2 linked regions of the Caenorhabditis elegans genome follow. The protein of the gene in region 1 interacts with the protein of each later gene in a pairwise test. Each region holds a gene or a part of one and is shown on either strand. Other genes may lie near its edges.

What was found.
Region 2: the proteins of pdk-1 (region 1) and pcm-1 interact in a two-hybrid assay, tested with the Caenorhabditis elegans proteins (one large-scale study listed by BioGRID).

The regions. Positions count from the first base shown.
Region 1 is NC_003284.9:1,319,677-1,327,507, forward strand, and holds the start of pdk-1 (3-phosphoinositide-dependent protein kinase 1), read left to right. Parts: upstream 1-1,667; 5' UTR 1,668-1,686; coding exon 1,687-1,773; intron 1,774-2,496; coding exon 2,497-2,655; intron 2,656-4,706; coding exon 4,707-4,902; intron 4,903-5,019; coding exon 5,020-5,352; intron 5,353-5,392; coding exon 5,393-5,486; intron 5,487-5,535; coding exon 5,536-5,701; intron 5,702-5,752; coding exon 5,753-5,994; intron 5,995-6,396; coding exon 6,397-6,453; intron 6,454-6,503; coding exon 6,504-6,792; intron 6,793-6,863; coding exon 6,864-7,031; intron 7,032-7,697; coding exon 7,698-7,817; 3' UTR 7,818-7,831. UniProt on the Caenorhabditis elegans protein: Involved in the daf-2/insulin receptor-like transduction pathway, which controls longevity and prevents developmental arrest at the dauer stage. Phosphorylates and activates sgk-1, akt-1 and akt-2.
Region 2 is NC_003283.11:5,959,501-5,965,672, reverse strand, and holds pcm-1 (Protein-L-isoaspartate O-methyltransferase), read left to right. Parts: upstream 1-1,790; 5' UTR 1,791-1,968; coding exon 1,969-2,023; intron 2,024-2,453; coding exon 2,454-2,590; intron 2,591-2,770; coding exon 2,771-2,875; intron 2,876-2,928; coding exon 2,929-3,051; intron 3,052-3,749; coding exon of another isoform or gene 3,750-3,762; coding exon 3,763-3,846; intron 3,847-4,737; coding exon 4,738-4,803; intron 4,804-4,855; coding exon 4,856-4,963; 3' UTR 4,964-5,473; downstream 5,474-6,172. Other genes in the region: mcp-1 (GDP-D-glucose phosphorylase 1), read right to left, coding at 642-732, 3,750-3,799. UniProt on the Caenorhabditis elegans protein: Initiates the repair of damaged proteins by catalyzing methyl esterification of L-isoaspartyl and D-aspartyl residues produced by spontaneous isomerization and racemization of L-aspartyl and L-asparaginyl residues in aging peptides and proteins.

The sequences.
Region 1 (7,831 bases):
GATTTCATTTTAGTTCCGGGAAACAGAAAAGCGGGTTTCTACATACTACATACTTTTTGAGGAACAAGCTGAAAATCGATAAATGGTGTCAGTGGGCGGGGGGCATGGCAAAAACAACACATAGACTTGTGCCACACACACACACACACACACATCCCACACACAATGTTTGTTTGTCTCCGGAGAGGCGGTGGACGCTGACGAAGGGAGGCCTCCCTGAAAGCGATAACAACCGTACTTGTTGCGGCTGCGTCTCTTCGGCGGCCAGCGGCCCCTCGTCTTCGCTCATACTCTGCTTCCCGGGGGGTCGACGCTGCAACACACACGCGCGCACCGAGGCACTGCGCGGAACGGCCGAGACGCAGAAACGCACACAGACTTGCCTTTCGTCTAACACTTATCAAACGCTAGGCAATTGTCTGTGTTGGTTTTACCGTCGGTTTTTCCTTGCTTTTTTCCGAGGACTTCCTTTTTTTCCCAATTTTCTTTGATTTCAAGATAATAATGTTTTTTAATTTGCATACTTGCCATATTTTTTTTTCTTTTTTTTTGTGTTGTTTTCCGTGCCCATATATCTTGCTAGAAAAATCTGAAAATACAGCAGTACACGACAAAAACTTGTTCGATGGTTTGCCGCGATAATCGTCCCGAAAAGTAGCTGAATTAGAAAATGAGAGGGTGCTAGACAGAGATGGAGGAGGGGCCTGTGAATGTCTGTCTGAACACTTGAACTTTGCTTCTTTCTCTGAAACACCAGACTCATTTTGTCTAGATTTTCAGCTTCTTAATTTTTGTTTGGAAATTTCTGGTATGAATCTGATGCTTTAACAATTGTTTGAGTCTTATGTTTAAAAACATACGTGTAGCTAAAACTGTAAATTGGACGAATTTATCATCGACAAAAGCTCAGTTGCACTGACCAAAATTAAGCTTGCACTGACCAAATTCAAGTTGACACCAGGGGTGGGCGGCAAACAAAATTTTCCGCCGAATTGATTATTCGTTAGTTCTCAATTAAAAAAATACTTTAAAAACAATATTCCACTGTAATAAGTGTTATTTTGGAGAATAAGTGTAATTTTTTTTCCAACTTAAAATATTTAGAGATTCTGAATTTTTATTCTGGCAAAAAAGTGTTGGCCGGTAATTCCAAATTCAAAATTTTCGGCAGATCAAAACTCAGGGAGTTGCCGAAATAAACATTTTTTGAATAAAATTAGCAATCGGCCCTTTCGACAATTGCCGCCCACCCATGGTTTGCACTGACAAAATTTCGTTTTGCACTGACAAAAACCTTTGCACTGACAAAATTTCGTGTTGCACTGACCAAAAACAGATTTTCCTCAAAGCTATATGCAAAAACCTTGTTTTTCAAATGTTAATCCTCATCTGTTTTTGTTGGAAATCAAGTATTGCAGTTTCCTCGTTGTTTTCTAGTCAAAAGAGAGAAGACGTTCGCCTTTTTTTTGTTTTCGCACCGCGCCGCTGCTTCGATTCATTTTCAGTCTGTAATTCGAGCACGCTCGTTGCTAGGCGGTTTTGTGCGCCAAAAACAGCAAATAAAAACAGGAACACTGGAGTCGGCCAGTATTTTCGAATAATCATGTTCTAATCATATTCTTCCTCTTATTATATGTGCATAAAAATCCAGTAAATGGTAAAATTTTCAATTTCAGATCCATCTCGATGGAGGATCTCACACCAACTAACACGTCGCTCGACACCACAACTACTAACAATGACACGACATCGGATCGTGAAGCGGCGCCAACGGTGAGGAACTAGTTTCTAGACGAACATCGGAATGCGGCTTAAAGTTCGGGTGCACTTATCAAACTAGACCCGTTTTTTAGACCCTCTTTCAAAGCGGGGAACTGCAATACACTTTTTGAACCTAAAACCTAGATTTTTGGTGTTCTAAATTCTTTTGTGAATTGGAGAGCCAATTCAACCGGAAAACTCTTTTTTATAGGGAAAACGTTTTGCCACGTAGCAGATAAGTTAAATAGAAAATATTTTAAAATATTTTTTTTTGTCTAGGAAAAATTGATAAAGCACCTGGTCCAATTTTCAGAACGTTCCAATTTTACCTACAATACAAAATTGGCCGGCAAGCTTATGGCTTCTGTTTGCCTACTTCTAGCTTGAACATTCTAAGGCTCCGTAGCGAAAAAAATTTTTTAGGCTTTTTTTAAATAAATGTTTGGGCCGGAACACTTAACCGAATAGCATGATGAAACGCTCTAAAACTTGAATTTGAAAATTTGCAGTTGATGCTTTAATATAAAAGTTTTGAGGTTTCACCTGCCTAAGATCGTTTTAGCATAAATATGTAGATGACCGAGAGTATACAATTAAATATTAATTAAATATGAATTTCGAAATATGAATTTTGGTTGACTTCCATTATGTTTTTTTTTTCACATTTTACAACTATTCTAGGCAAAAATGAAAAAAAAAAACTTGTAGAATAATTTTCAAAATTTTATTTTCCAGACGCTCAACTTAACACCAACAGCAAGTGAATCGGAGAACAGCTTATCCCCAGTCACCGCCGAAGATCTCATAGCTAAAAGCATTAAAGAAGGATGTCCGAAGAGAACTTCCAACGACTTCATGTTTCTTCAGAGTATGGGCGAAGGAGCCTACAGCCAGGTTGGTGAACGAGGAAATTTCCAGAAATGTGTGCAACTAGTATCAGAGTACAAGGAAAAGCTTGGAAAATACTCGGAATGCCTGAATTAGTGCTTGAAGTAAGCTTGCCCATTTTTTTCGGAACATCGGTGATTCTTTCTTGGCAATTCAACTGATAGTACTGGTATTACCTAGCCGCAAAAAATTTGCAGTTTTTGCCACAAATCTATCTTGACACAATATACCTCACTATTAGTTAAATGCTGAGTTTTTATCGATTTTTATAGCTTTTTTTACTTATGTATATTCAAAATGTATGTGTTTTTCAAATCTTTTTAAAGGTTTAGTACGGTCATTAAAAAAAATATTTAAAAATCATCTTCATGGCGCTAAAATGAGCGACTATCATAAGAAATTAGAAAATTTGGAAAATTGGTTTATTTTTTTCTAGTCCTTGAATTTTCACCTTCCCATTTTTATGCTCTAACTGTGTTTCAAATACTCATATTCCAACATTGTAGGAATTCTAGAATTGCTTTAGATTTCTCTTTGTTTTCCAATCTTTTTTACTGTAAGTTATCATCATTTTGGCACCGAAAGGTTTTTTTAGGTAATTTTACCACTGACCGTAACACTTTTCCAATGGCGTATACAATTTGAATTTAGCAACAAAACAAAAAAAAACAAAAATCGTACCAAGACGGACTACTGTATTTTTTGGCGGAAAAATCGGCCAATTTTGCGTCAGGGTTACACGACTGTGGGAATTGAACTCGCACTATGTAGGCCCATTCATGTTGTCTCCCCCTGTCCAATCTCTTTTCTCCACAACACTTTAATCTCATTTCGCATGGAGAAGAGAAAGAAGAAGATGCAGAAAACGACGACATCGTCATAGAATTGTCTACACAAACCTAGTGTTCTGCGTCTCTTACACAAAATAAGCCACGCGTCTAGCACTATCAACATTCGCAAACAGCTATACATGTGCTTGTTGAAGGGAAAAACGAGACGTTTGTGTGTATTGGGGAGGGGTAATGTAACCGTGGTTGTTGGGTTCATCAAATTGACAGCGCACAGGGATTTGATTTTGAACGTGTTATCGCTTTGGACCCTGAGGCATGTTTCCTACACCTAGAACAACTACCGTAATGAATCTTTACATTGACTTTCGGAGAGAAGGGTTTGTACTCTGACTATGTATAACTCAAGAAGAATGTAGGGAATTTATGTCGTTGGAACTTCCAATTTGGAAGTACAGTTTTTTGGAAATTAAATTTTTGATTCTTAAAATAGTCGACTTGAAATAATTTTTCGTTATTTATCAATCCAATGAGTTGAAAAAGTGAATGGAAATTTCTTGACTAAATCCGTGGAAAATTATCTAGTTTTGTTTTTCAGATAAGTTGTAAACACTTTGATAGTTAAAATGATTGTTTGTAGTGATCAGAAGCAGAAAATCTGACTAGTTTCCGCCCCCCCCCCCTATACATATGATGCACACTTAAAATGTCCAAGTGGTGTTTGAATAGCAAATCTTGAAAACGTAAAAACAATAATTATTTTCTATATCTGTAAATATTTTCAACGAATTTTCAGCTTCCAAATTTTGGTCGTTTTTGGATCTTTTTACAAAAAAAATATTTTATCAACTGACACTGATAATATTTTCTGCCTCATATTAAAAAATATTCCTCTAGCAAAAACTGTAAGTTGAACGAATTTACAATAAAAAACACAGCTGCACTGACCAAAAAACAATTACACTGGCCAAAATTGAGCTTGCACTGACCGAGTTTAGCGACCATATCTTTTTTGTCTAATTTGTGGTGTGTGCGGCGAATTCGGCAAAATTGTCGAGCTCGGAAAACAGAAAATTTGGCAAATTTACCGCAAACTCTTCAACTGAAGCCACTATTGCACATTAACTGTCAAAATTCTGGATATAATTAGCAAAACAATAAGTAACATTTCTGAAAAATTAGAACCTTTCCCGCATTGTATTTGTAGACGCACCTAAAAAATTTCAAAACACCAAAAAACAAGCTTCCAGTAAAACCCTAATATTCCAGGTATTCCGATGTCGCGAAGTGGCAACAGATGCGATGTTCGCCGTCAAAGTGCTCCAGAAGTCGTACCTCAACCGCCATCAAAAAATGGACGCAATCATTCGCGAGAAGAATATCTTAACATACCTGTCACAAGAATGCGGTGGTCATCCGTTTGTCACACAGCTCTACACACATTTTCACGACCAGGCTAGAATTTGTGAGTTTTTTCCAGCGCCAAGGTTCTTTTCTGAACCCATCAAAATCCACTTGTGATCATTTTATTCCAATAAAAACGTCAACTTAAAAAAAAAATTAAACCTCAATTAATATTCAGATTTCGTGATCGGACTTGTTGAAAATGGTGATCTTGGCGAGTCGCTGTGCCATTTTGGATCATTCGACATGCTCACCTCAAAATTCTTTGCCTCGGAAATCCTCACCGGACTGCAATTCCTACACGACAACAAAATTGTGCACAGAGACATGAAGCCGGACAATGTGCTCATCCAGAAAGACGGTCACATTCTCATCACAGATTTTGGAAGTGCCCAGGCGTTTGGCGGTCTCCAACTGTCACAGGAGGGCTTTACGGATGCGAATCAGGCAAGCTCGCGATCTTCGGATTCTGGATCGCCGCCGCCAACTCGATTCTATTCGGATGAGGAGGGTAAGGTTTTCGGAAATTTGACTGAAACAATTTTTGCCAGTTCCAGAAGAGAACACTGCTCGACGTACCACATTTGTTGGAACTGCTCTCTACGTGAGCCCGGAGATGCTAGCTGACGGAGATGTGGGACCACAGTAAGCTCCGATTCTTTGTAGAATGTCAAATTTAACAGTTGGATTTCAGAACCGACATTTGGGGATTGGGATGTATCCTTTTCCAGTGTCTAGCCGGACAGCCACCATTCAGAGCCGTCAACCAGTACCATCTTTTGAAAAGAATCCAGGAGTTGGATTTCTCGTTCCCAGAAGGATTTCCAGAGGAAGCGTCGGAAATTATCGCAAAGATTTTGGTAGGTTGACATGAAACTTTAAAAACTGAATACGTAATTTTCAACTTACAGGTGCGCGACCCGAGTACCCGTATCACCAGTCAAGAACTTATGGCTCACAAGTTTTTTGAAAACGTTGACTGGGTGAACATTGCAAATATCAAGCCACCAGTCCTGCACGCCTACATTCCAGCCACATTTGGCGAGCCGGAGTACTACTCTAACATTGGGCCTGTCGAGCCGGGACTTGATGATCGTGCCTTGTTCCGTTTGATGAATTTGGGAAATGATGCTAGCGCATCACAGCCATCAACGTGAGTTTGAAGCATTTTTTTCTTGCATTAAAAGTTTTACCTTGCACTGACCAAAATTTATTGAAACTATTAATTATTTGATTCTGATTAACAATGACCAAAAGATTTGAACTGACAAAGTGCAAATTTGCACCGACCAAAAAACAGTTTGCACTGACCACCTCTTCATTTGCACTGACCACCTCTTCATTTGCACTGACCAACTTTTCATTTGCACTGACCATCTCTTCATTTGCACTGACCAACTTTTCATTTGCAATTCTGGCAATGATTCTTTTGCATCTACTGATCAAAAATTGATTCAAATCAATTAATTTTCTTTGACAGTACTATGCCTTATTCAAGGAGATGCTGATCTGAAAATTCTCAATAGTTGATAAAAATTACTAACCCCTTAGAAAGTTTCAGACCGTCTAACGTGGAACATCGCGGAGACCCATTTGTTTCGGAAATTGCACCGTGAGTGATTTGCACCTAATTGGTTATTTTTAATAATCATTAAATTATAGACGCGCCAATTCGGAAGCCGAAAAGAACCGCGCCGCACGTGCGCAGAAGCTCGAAGAGCAACGTGTCAAAAACCCATTCCACATCTTCACCAACAACTCGCTCATTTTGAAACAAGGATATTTGGAAAAGAAGCGAGGATTGTTTGCCAGACGCCGAATGTTCCTGTTGACCGAAGGACCGCATCTCTTGTACATTGATGTGCCGAATCTTGTGCTCAAAGGAGAGGTACCATGGACGCCGTGCATGCAGGTGGAGCTAAAAAACTCGGGAACTTTCTTTATACATACGGTAGGTCAGAATAATCATAGCTGTCTATCTCATTATAGTACTCAATGAATCTGAAAATTTCAAATTTTCAGCCCAACCGCGTCTACTACTTGTTTGATCTCGAAAAGAAAGCAGATGAGTGGTGTAAGGCTATCAATGATGTTCGCAAGCGGTACTCGGTGACTATCGAAAAGACTTTTAACTCTGCGATGCGTGACGGAACATTTGGCAGCATTTATGGAAAGAAAAAGTCCAGAAAGGTATGAATTACTGGAAGGCCCCCCTCACTGAGTTTCCAGCAAGTTCAGAGTTTTTTATTGGAATTTTTGCCAATTTTCATTAGACTTTAGAGCCTATTGCTATTTTGTGGACAGGTTTAAACATTTTCAAAAAAAAATTGAGAAATGTCTGAAAAAATTTGGAGTGTGACAGTTTTCTGAATTTTGAAAATTCTGTTCTCAAAATTGGATTTTTACAGAGCTTGTTTCGAGATTTCATAATCCTTCAAAAGAATATAGAATATTTGTGTTCAACTTTTCTTGTCAAAATATTTTTTTTGGACAATCTAGATTCTGGAAAATTTTCAAAAAAAGATAATCTCTAAACAAAACTAAATTCAAAATGTTCTAAAGGTTCTTTATTTTCCATGCAACTCTAAAATCTTCCCGTATATTTTTTTGGAAAGTCTTATGATGTTTAGACGGTTTAAATTTTTTGATGATTTAAATTTTTTAGGGGTGGTCTATAATTTTGGACCACCCTGTATAATTATGGACCACCATGTACACTTATAGACCACCCAGTAACAAGCATTTTTGGACCACCACGCAAATCTTATTATTATGGACCACCCAAACTTAGAACACCTTCAATACTTCTTTTCTGTTCAAAAAATGATCAACTTGCTGAAAAAAAATTTTTTGTAGGAAATGATGCGTGAACAGAAGGCGCTGCGCCGCAAACAAGAAAAGGAGGAGAAAAAGGCGCTAAAAGCCGAGCAAGTGAGCAAGAAGCTTTCAATGCAAATGGACAAGAAGTCGCCTTGAAGGCTCACCTCCCT
Region 2 (6,172 bases), on another chromosome or scaffold:
TTGTAAAGGGGATTTGAAAGATTTACAAAAAAATTCCAATACAAAAGAATATGTTAATCTGGACGATAAAAAAAACTAAATATGGGTTGAGAATTTGTGGAAACGCTAGAAATACAATAATTTGTGATCATGGGGACATAGAAAAATCAGTTTTCCAAAATTGAGGTTCATTGAAAAATTATGAAAAAATATAATTTTAAAAAACAATTTTGAATTATTTTTCTACATTCCAAAATTAAAAATTCAATTTTAAAACGAAAATTGACATTTGATATGCCAATGTCGAGAAATGGGTGCCATACGGTATTTATTTTTTTAAATATTAAAAACAAGTTTTAACCATTATTTTTTGCCACTACATAAATCTAGGGTTACGAGTTTGAATTTAAAAAAAACGGATTTTCTCAATTTTTTAGGCAGAGTGGCATGAGTATTAAAACGTATGTGTCTTTACTGATTTTTTGAGCGTTTTTGTTTAAATATTTTGTCAAAGTATTTGCAGCGTTATGTTATAATTATCAGAAAAAAATCTTAGCAAATCTAGTCTCTAACGTTCGTCTTTTCGATTTAAACGTATGATTAAGAATATTTAAAATTTACTTTCTAGGCTTTTAGGGGCTACATGCAAATTAAAATCTTACCTGTATAGACGATACTGATCTTTGCGTACGAGCATTGGCGCCCAACATCACGATTTTCCGCATTGGCATCTTGTCGATGGGGCGGGGTCTTCTGAAAGGCGAGAGTTGGGAGATTTAGAGAAGTAAACGAACAGAGTGAAAAGAAAAGAGTTACGCGTGTGGTGAAGAGCACAGATAGACGGATTTGACGAGCTGCCACGCCAGCCGGATGGAGGAGAAGATGAAAAAGCACGGGATATTCGGACCAAGCAAGCACATACATATAAACTAAGTAGTAAGTTAGAAAAGATGTCAGGAAAAAATAAAGAAAATTTTCAATAGAATATGTCCAACCATGTTAGGTATTTGAACTTGAATGTTGAATTAATAAAATTTAGAAATTTGAAGTCAGTTGTAGGAACTTCGGAGAAAGTTTTTGATTTTTGGAATTAGTTATTTTTTAAGTATTTTATTTTAATTTGAAACAAATGTTTCAACAAAGAAGAATTTAGCACTTTCTGTGTAGGAAACTTGATACCTCAAAATTTGGCACATATTGATTTTCGTTTTTTTTTTGTTCTTTTTTGAAATAGGACAAATATTTTTTGTTTCTTAAAAAATGTGAGTAAAAATATATATAGTTTGGGGAAGAAATGTTGTATTGTAATATATTTATGGTGAACTATTTTGCTTATTTTTGTTTGTTATTTTAAAAATTAAATATTTAAAAATAGAAACGAGTTTCAAATAAATTTTGCATCATTTTTGAGTGCAAAATTTATTTCTAAAAAACGATGACTATTTGCAATGACTCAGCGCAAAACATGAAACGTTCAAAAGATGTCGATACACATTACGTGTAAACGAAACTACACATACAAAAGAGGTCAACCAGATAGTTTGTGAGAGGGCAGCTGTGAAGAGCTAGTAGCACTCTAAACAACTAGACAACTACTAGAGGTGCTCTTGCTCTTTCGAAAAGTTATTTCATTTCAACGTAAACATCCTGGCATTCTGTAGAATTAGTTTATCCAGGCATGACACATTCTTTAATTTAAGTTTCCATTGTTTTTCATTACACTCAACTATTTTTCATTTCCTTTCTCATATTTAACCATCCATTTCTCTAACCGGTCACTTTTCTTTTCCGTCTCTCCAACATTTCCTCTAATACGCTGCGTCTCTTCTCCATAACGTCTGAGAGAACATCGATTGTACAGATAAACAGCCGGAGCTAAACCTTGTTTTTCTGTGAAATTCTCGAAAGTTCTACATATTCTGGTGCATGAAACGACTTCAGTTCGTGTCAACTTTACTCGTTTTAACTACAAGAACTTTGGCAAAAGGAATGGCATGGAGATCCAGTGGTTCGACTAATTCGGAGCTCATCGATAATTTGAGAAGTAGGTTTTTTTAATCGAAAATTTAAATATTGAACTTCAAAAACACATGTATATGAAGTTTTTATAGGCCTATAGAGAAATTTAAAGAAATAATTGTGAAAAAGTAAATATTTCTTGTAATATAATCAACAATTAGCAAGAAAAGTTAAGCAAAAAAAGCAACTAGACAAGTTCGAAATGTATTGAATTCACAATTGTAAGAAACCAAAAATTCTCAAAACAAACGCGAGGATAGCCTGAAATTTGAGAGCTTCAACACTTGAATAAGAAGGAAAACAGGCAGTGTCTGAGAAAGAAGACACGAGACACAAACTCAATTAATCCTAAATTGGTCAAAACGAAAGGCTAATGGTCTATTCTAGTTCTGTATAATTACGGGGAACGCGAGCACAAAACTCTTGTCAAAAATGAAAAAAATCTAAAATTTCAGATAATCGAGTGTTTGCCAGTCAAAGAGCCTACGATGCGATGAAATCCGTTGATCGTGGAGATTTTGCTCCGAGAGCTCCTTATGAAGACGCTCCTCAACGAATTGGATATAATGCAACGGTTTCTGCACCTCACATGGTAAGAATTTGAGGAAATTGTTGGAAAAAAGTAAGAAAGTATTTATAATTGAAAGAAAAGCTTTAATTTAAATTCCCACACAACAAAAAAAAACTGCCAACACCTGCAAATTCTGCCAACTGAGTTTTAAGCAGCTCTTTTCCTACTCGCTTTCGCCCATTATCATTTTTTCATTGACAGCACGCAGCTGCTCTCGACTACCTACAAAACCACCTGGTTGCCGGTGCCAAAGCTCTTGACGTTGGCTCAGGAAGTGGATATTTGACAGTTTGTATGGCAATGATGGTATAAAAACTGCATAGATTTAGATAATTGGAATTTAAAAAAAAGTAATTTAGGTTGGCCGAAATGGCACGGTTGTTGGAATTGAACATATGCCACAGCTGGTCGAATTAAGCGAGAAAAATATCAGAAAGCATCACAGTGAACAATTGGAACGTGGAAATGTTATCATTATTGAGGTAAATTTTAAAAAAATCGAAGAATTCGAACATTTTGCACTACCATATGGATTGATTTTTAATAGCTGTACTCACCTAGGACTGTTTTGGGAAGATAAAAAATGAAACTGAAACTATCTAGCATGGTCACATAGACGTGGATTTTTTTTTTAAATACAGCTGGAAAAACTAGTACACGTATTAGTAGTGGAATGCCTTTTCTGTTTCTCTCTCTTGTCTACAACTGTCTGCGCAGGCGCACAATGTTTTTTGATTGATTTTCAAAATTAAATATTAAAAGGCAATATACGTGGCTATCAGACTTTTAAAAAACTTTTTTTTATTGCCAGAAGTTCAAACTGTTCGAGAATTCGGTAGAAGAAAATCTATTTTTTGAAATCTGCGCATACACCCATGCAGTTTTATTATTTTGCGAGTATTCATTTAGTTACAATTTTCAGGTTTTTATCAACGTCATTGAATAAGTAAATAATCTTCTGAAAAACTGTTAAAAATTTGCAGTAAATGAAATCGAAAAGTATATTTGCTATATTTTAAATTAAAAACACATTTTGTGTAGTGTAGATTTTTGAGAATATATAAAAGTCGAAAAACCAGAAACATTGACCAAAAAGGAGAATGACACACAATCAAGCGTACACAAAACTTGTTACAAAAAGCGAAACTTTTTCGAAAAAAAAAACGAATTTAAAAACTACCTCATATTTCTAGGGAGACGGTCGTCAAGGATTCGCGGAAAAGGCTCCATACAATGCAATTCACGTGGGAGCAGCTTCAAAAGGAGTCCCCAAAGCGGTACGTGACTTTGTGGTCGAGAAGAAATAAAATGAAAAAAAACGCGAAATTCGGTTCCCCCTTTTTTCTTGCTGTGCCGTCCGGATCACATGCACACATGCACAAATTGAATCATGAATCGGCAATGAGGAGGTGTCTCTCTATATGCCCTTTTTTGACCAATAAAAAAAGAAAGGAAGAGCCTCTCGGCAGAAATATTGATAATTCTGTTTCGAAATTCTGAAGATCAGATACAGACAAATATGTTTGCAAGAGTACCACGTTGAATATTAGCATAATACGTTCAATTGAACAGATGATGCAAAATTCGATGAAAGTGTCAAACCAAATCGTAGCCTATTTGAATTTCAAATTTTTGGCAATTGTGACCAAATCCTACAATTAACCAGATTGGAAACATAGAAGGTGCATAAAACAGGGCAACATTCCTACATGTGTAATATGATCCAAAATCTAGATAAACTATCAGAGTTAATTATTGTCAAAGCTAATTGAAAGTTTAAAAAAATTATGTCGTAAAGTTGGTGTAGTGCCAGTGGGGATTTTGTCTAAATACATTTATAATGATCCAAGACGGCCGAATATCATAATAAAACACTTCAAAAAAATTTAGATTTTCCATAATTTTCGGTCACAGTTTTGGCAAATTGCCAAAATTAATATCCAAAGAAATGTCGCATGTTCCGACTCCTACATTGTTTTAGTACGAATAATTAAAACAGAATTACAGTATAAAAATGTAGGAAAATGTTTATTTCGGTCGACTTCCAAAATTATGAGTGGCGAAAACTGAGTAATTATCCCTTTAGTCATTTAGCTCCATATGAGTAGTTTTTAACACTTTCCCCACTAGCGCTGCTCCATTTTTTAATTATGCAATTAATATTTCAGCTCACGGATCAACTGGCTGAAGGTGGCAGAATGATGATTCCGGTTGAACAAGTCGACGGAAATCAGGTTAGCTTTCAATTCATAATACATAGCATATTATGCATTAAACCACTTTCAGGTCTTCATGCAAATCGATAAGATCAATGGAAAAATTGAGCAAAAGATTGTGGAACACGTGATCTACGTGCCATTGACAAGTCGCGAAGAACAATGGAACCGCAATTAAATTTCAATGTTTTCTCCCTTTGTACATATACTCAACTTGTGCATATTGTATACCATCTCTATTTATTTTTGATTCAGGTTTTCTTTTGAAATGTTGCGTGTACATATAAACCGTGTTCTTCTGTCAAAAAATTAGTGAACTATTTCTTCAAATGCTTTTTTTTTCTAGGAACCCTTACTCTCGTCTACGTCAAGTGTCATTCATTAGCGAGAAGAGGAGCCGAGTTTTTGAGAAGACATAACTCAGTTTCTTCTTGTTTTACGTTTTCCTACTACACTATGTCGTTTACTTTTTTATCGTTTCTGTTTTGGTCAACAATCGAAAACTTAAATGTCCTTCACTATCTGGATTGTCCATTTTGAGCAATGATTGACAAGTCACCGGAATCATTTCATCTTGTCCTTTTCCGGTAAAAGCACTTAATTGTTGTTTTGGATAGCGTAGGGATCTTTGATCGAGTGCTATTTTCTTGCAGAAAAAGTTCATTTAGAGTTTTCTTTAAAAAATAAAGCCTTCGAGTCGGGTATTGTAGACACAGGGGTTGACAGATGCGCAAAAATTGAGCTGAACCTTTACATTAATCGAACAGATCTTTCGTGCCTCGAAAATGAAAAGCAATGTCTTATTCCCATTTTTTCCGAAAAAAAGAATCCCAAAAAGAAACTGATTTGTGTCAAAAGAAGAACCAAACAAACCGGAAAAAAAACAAGAAAGTGGACAGTCATGAATTAAATCGACCGTACCCACCATGTGACCATAATTTACGATTTTTAAAATACGGTACCCGGTCTCGACCCGACAAATTTTGTTAAATTCAAAAAATTTATCGGTTTTATCTAAAATTTGGGTGTTTTCATTATTTTCACTGACTTTTTTTTTCAGTTTCCTTGAAAACTCAATAAAGTTCCGCAGAAACGAAGATTCTAAGTTACAGTACTCTTTAAAGGCGCACAGCATCTAGCACTGAACAAAAATTTGTCATGGTGAGACCCGTAGTATTGTAGCGAAAAATACAAAATTGGATGTGCAGAACTTGCCGGTTACTGAAAATCCGAATATTTGAAAAACGGCACATTTTTCTAGAGTATTTTTCTTTCAGAAAACTGCAGTCGTCTCTTTTCACCAAAGACACCTGCATACTTTTCTGAAAAATAAAGTACTAGTTACTGTAACTGTGGATAGATTTGTCACATTTTAGAATTTGTATTT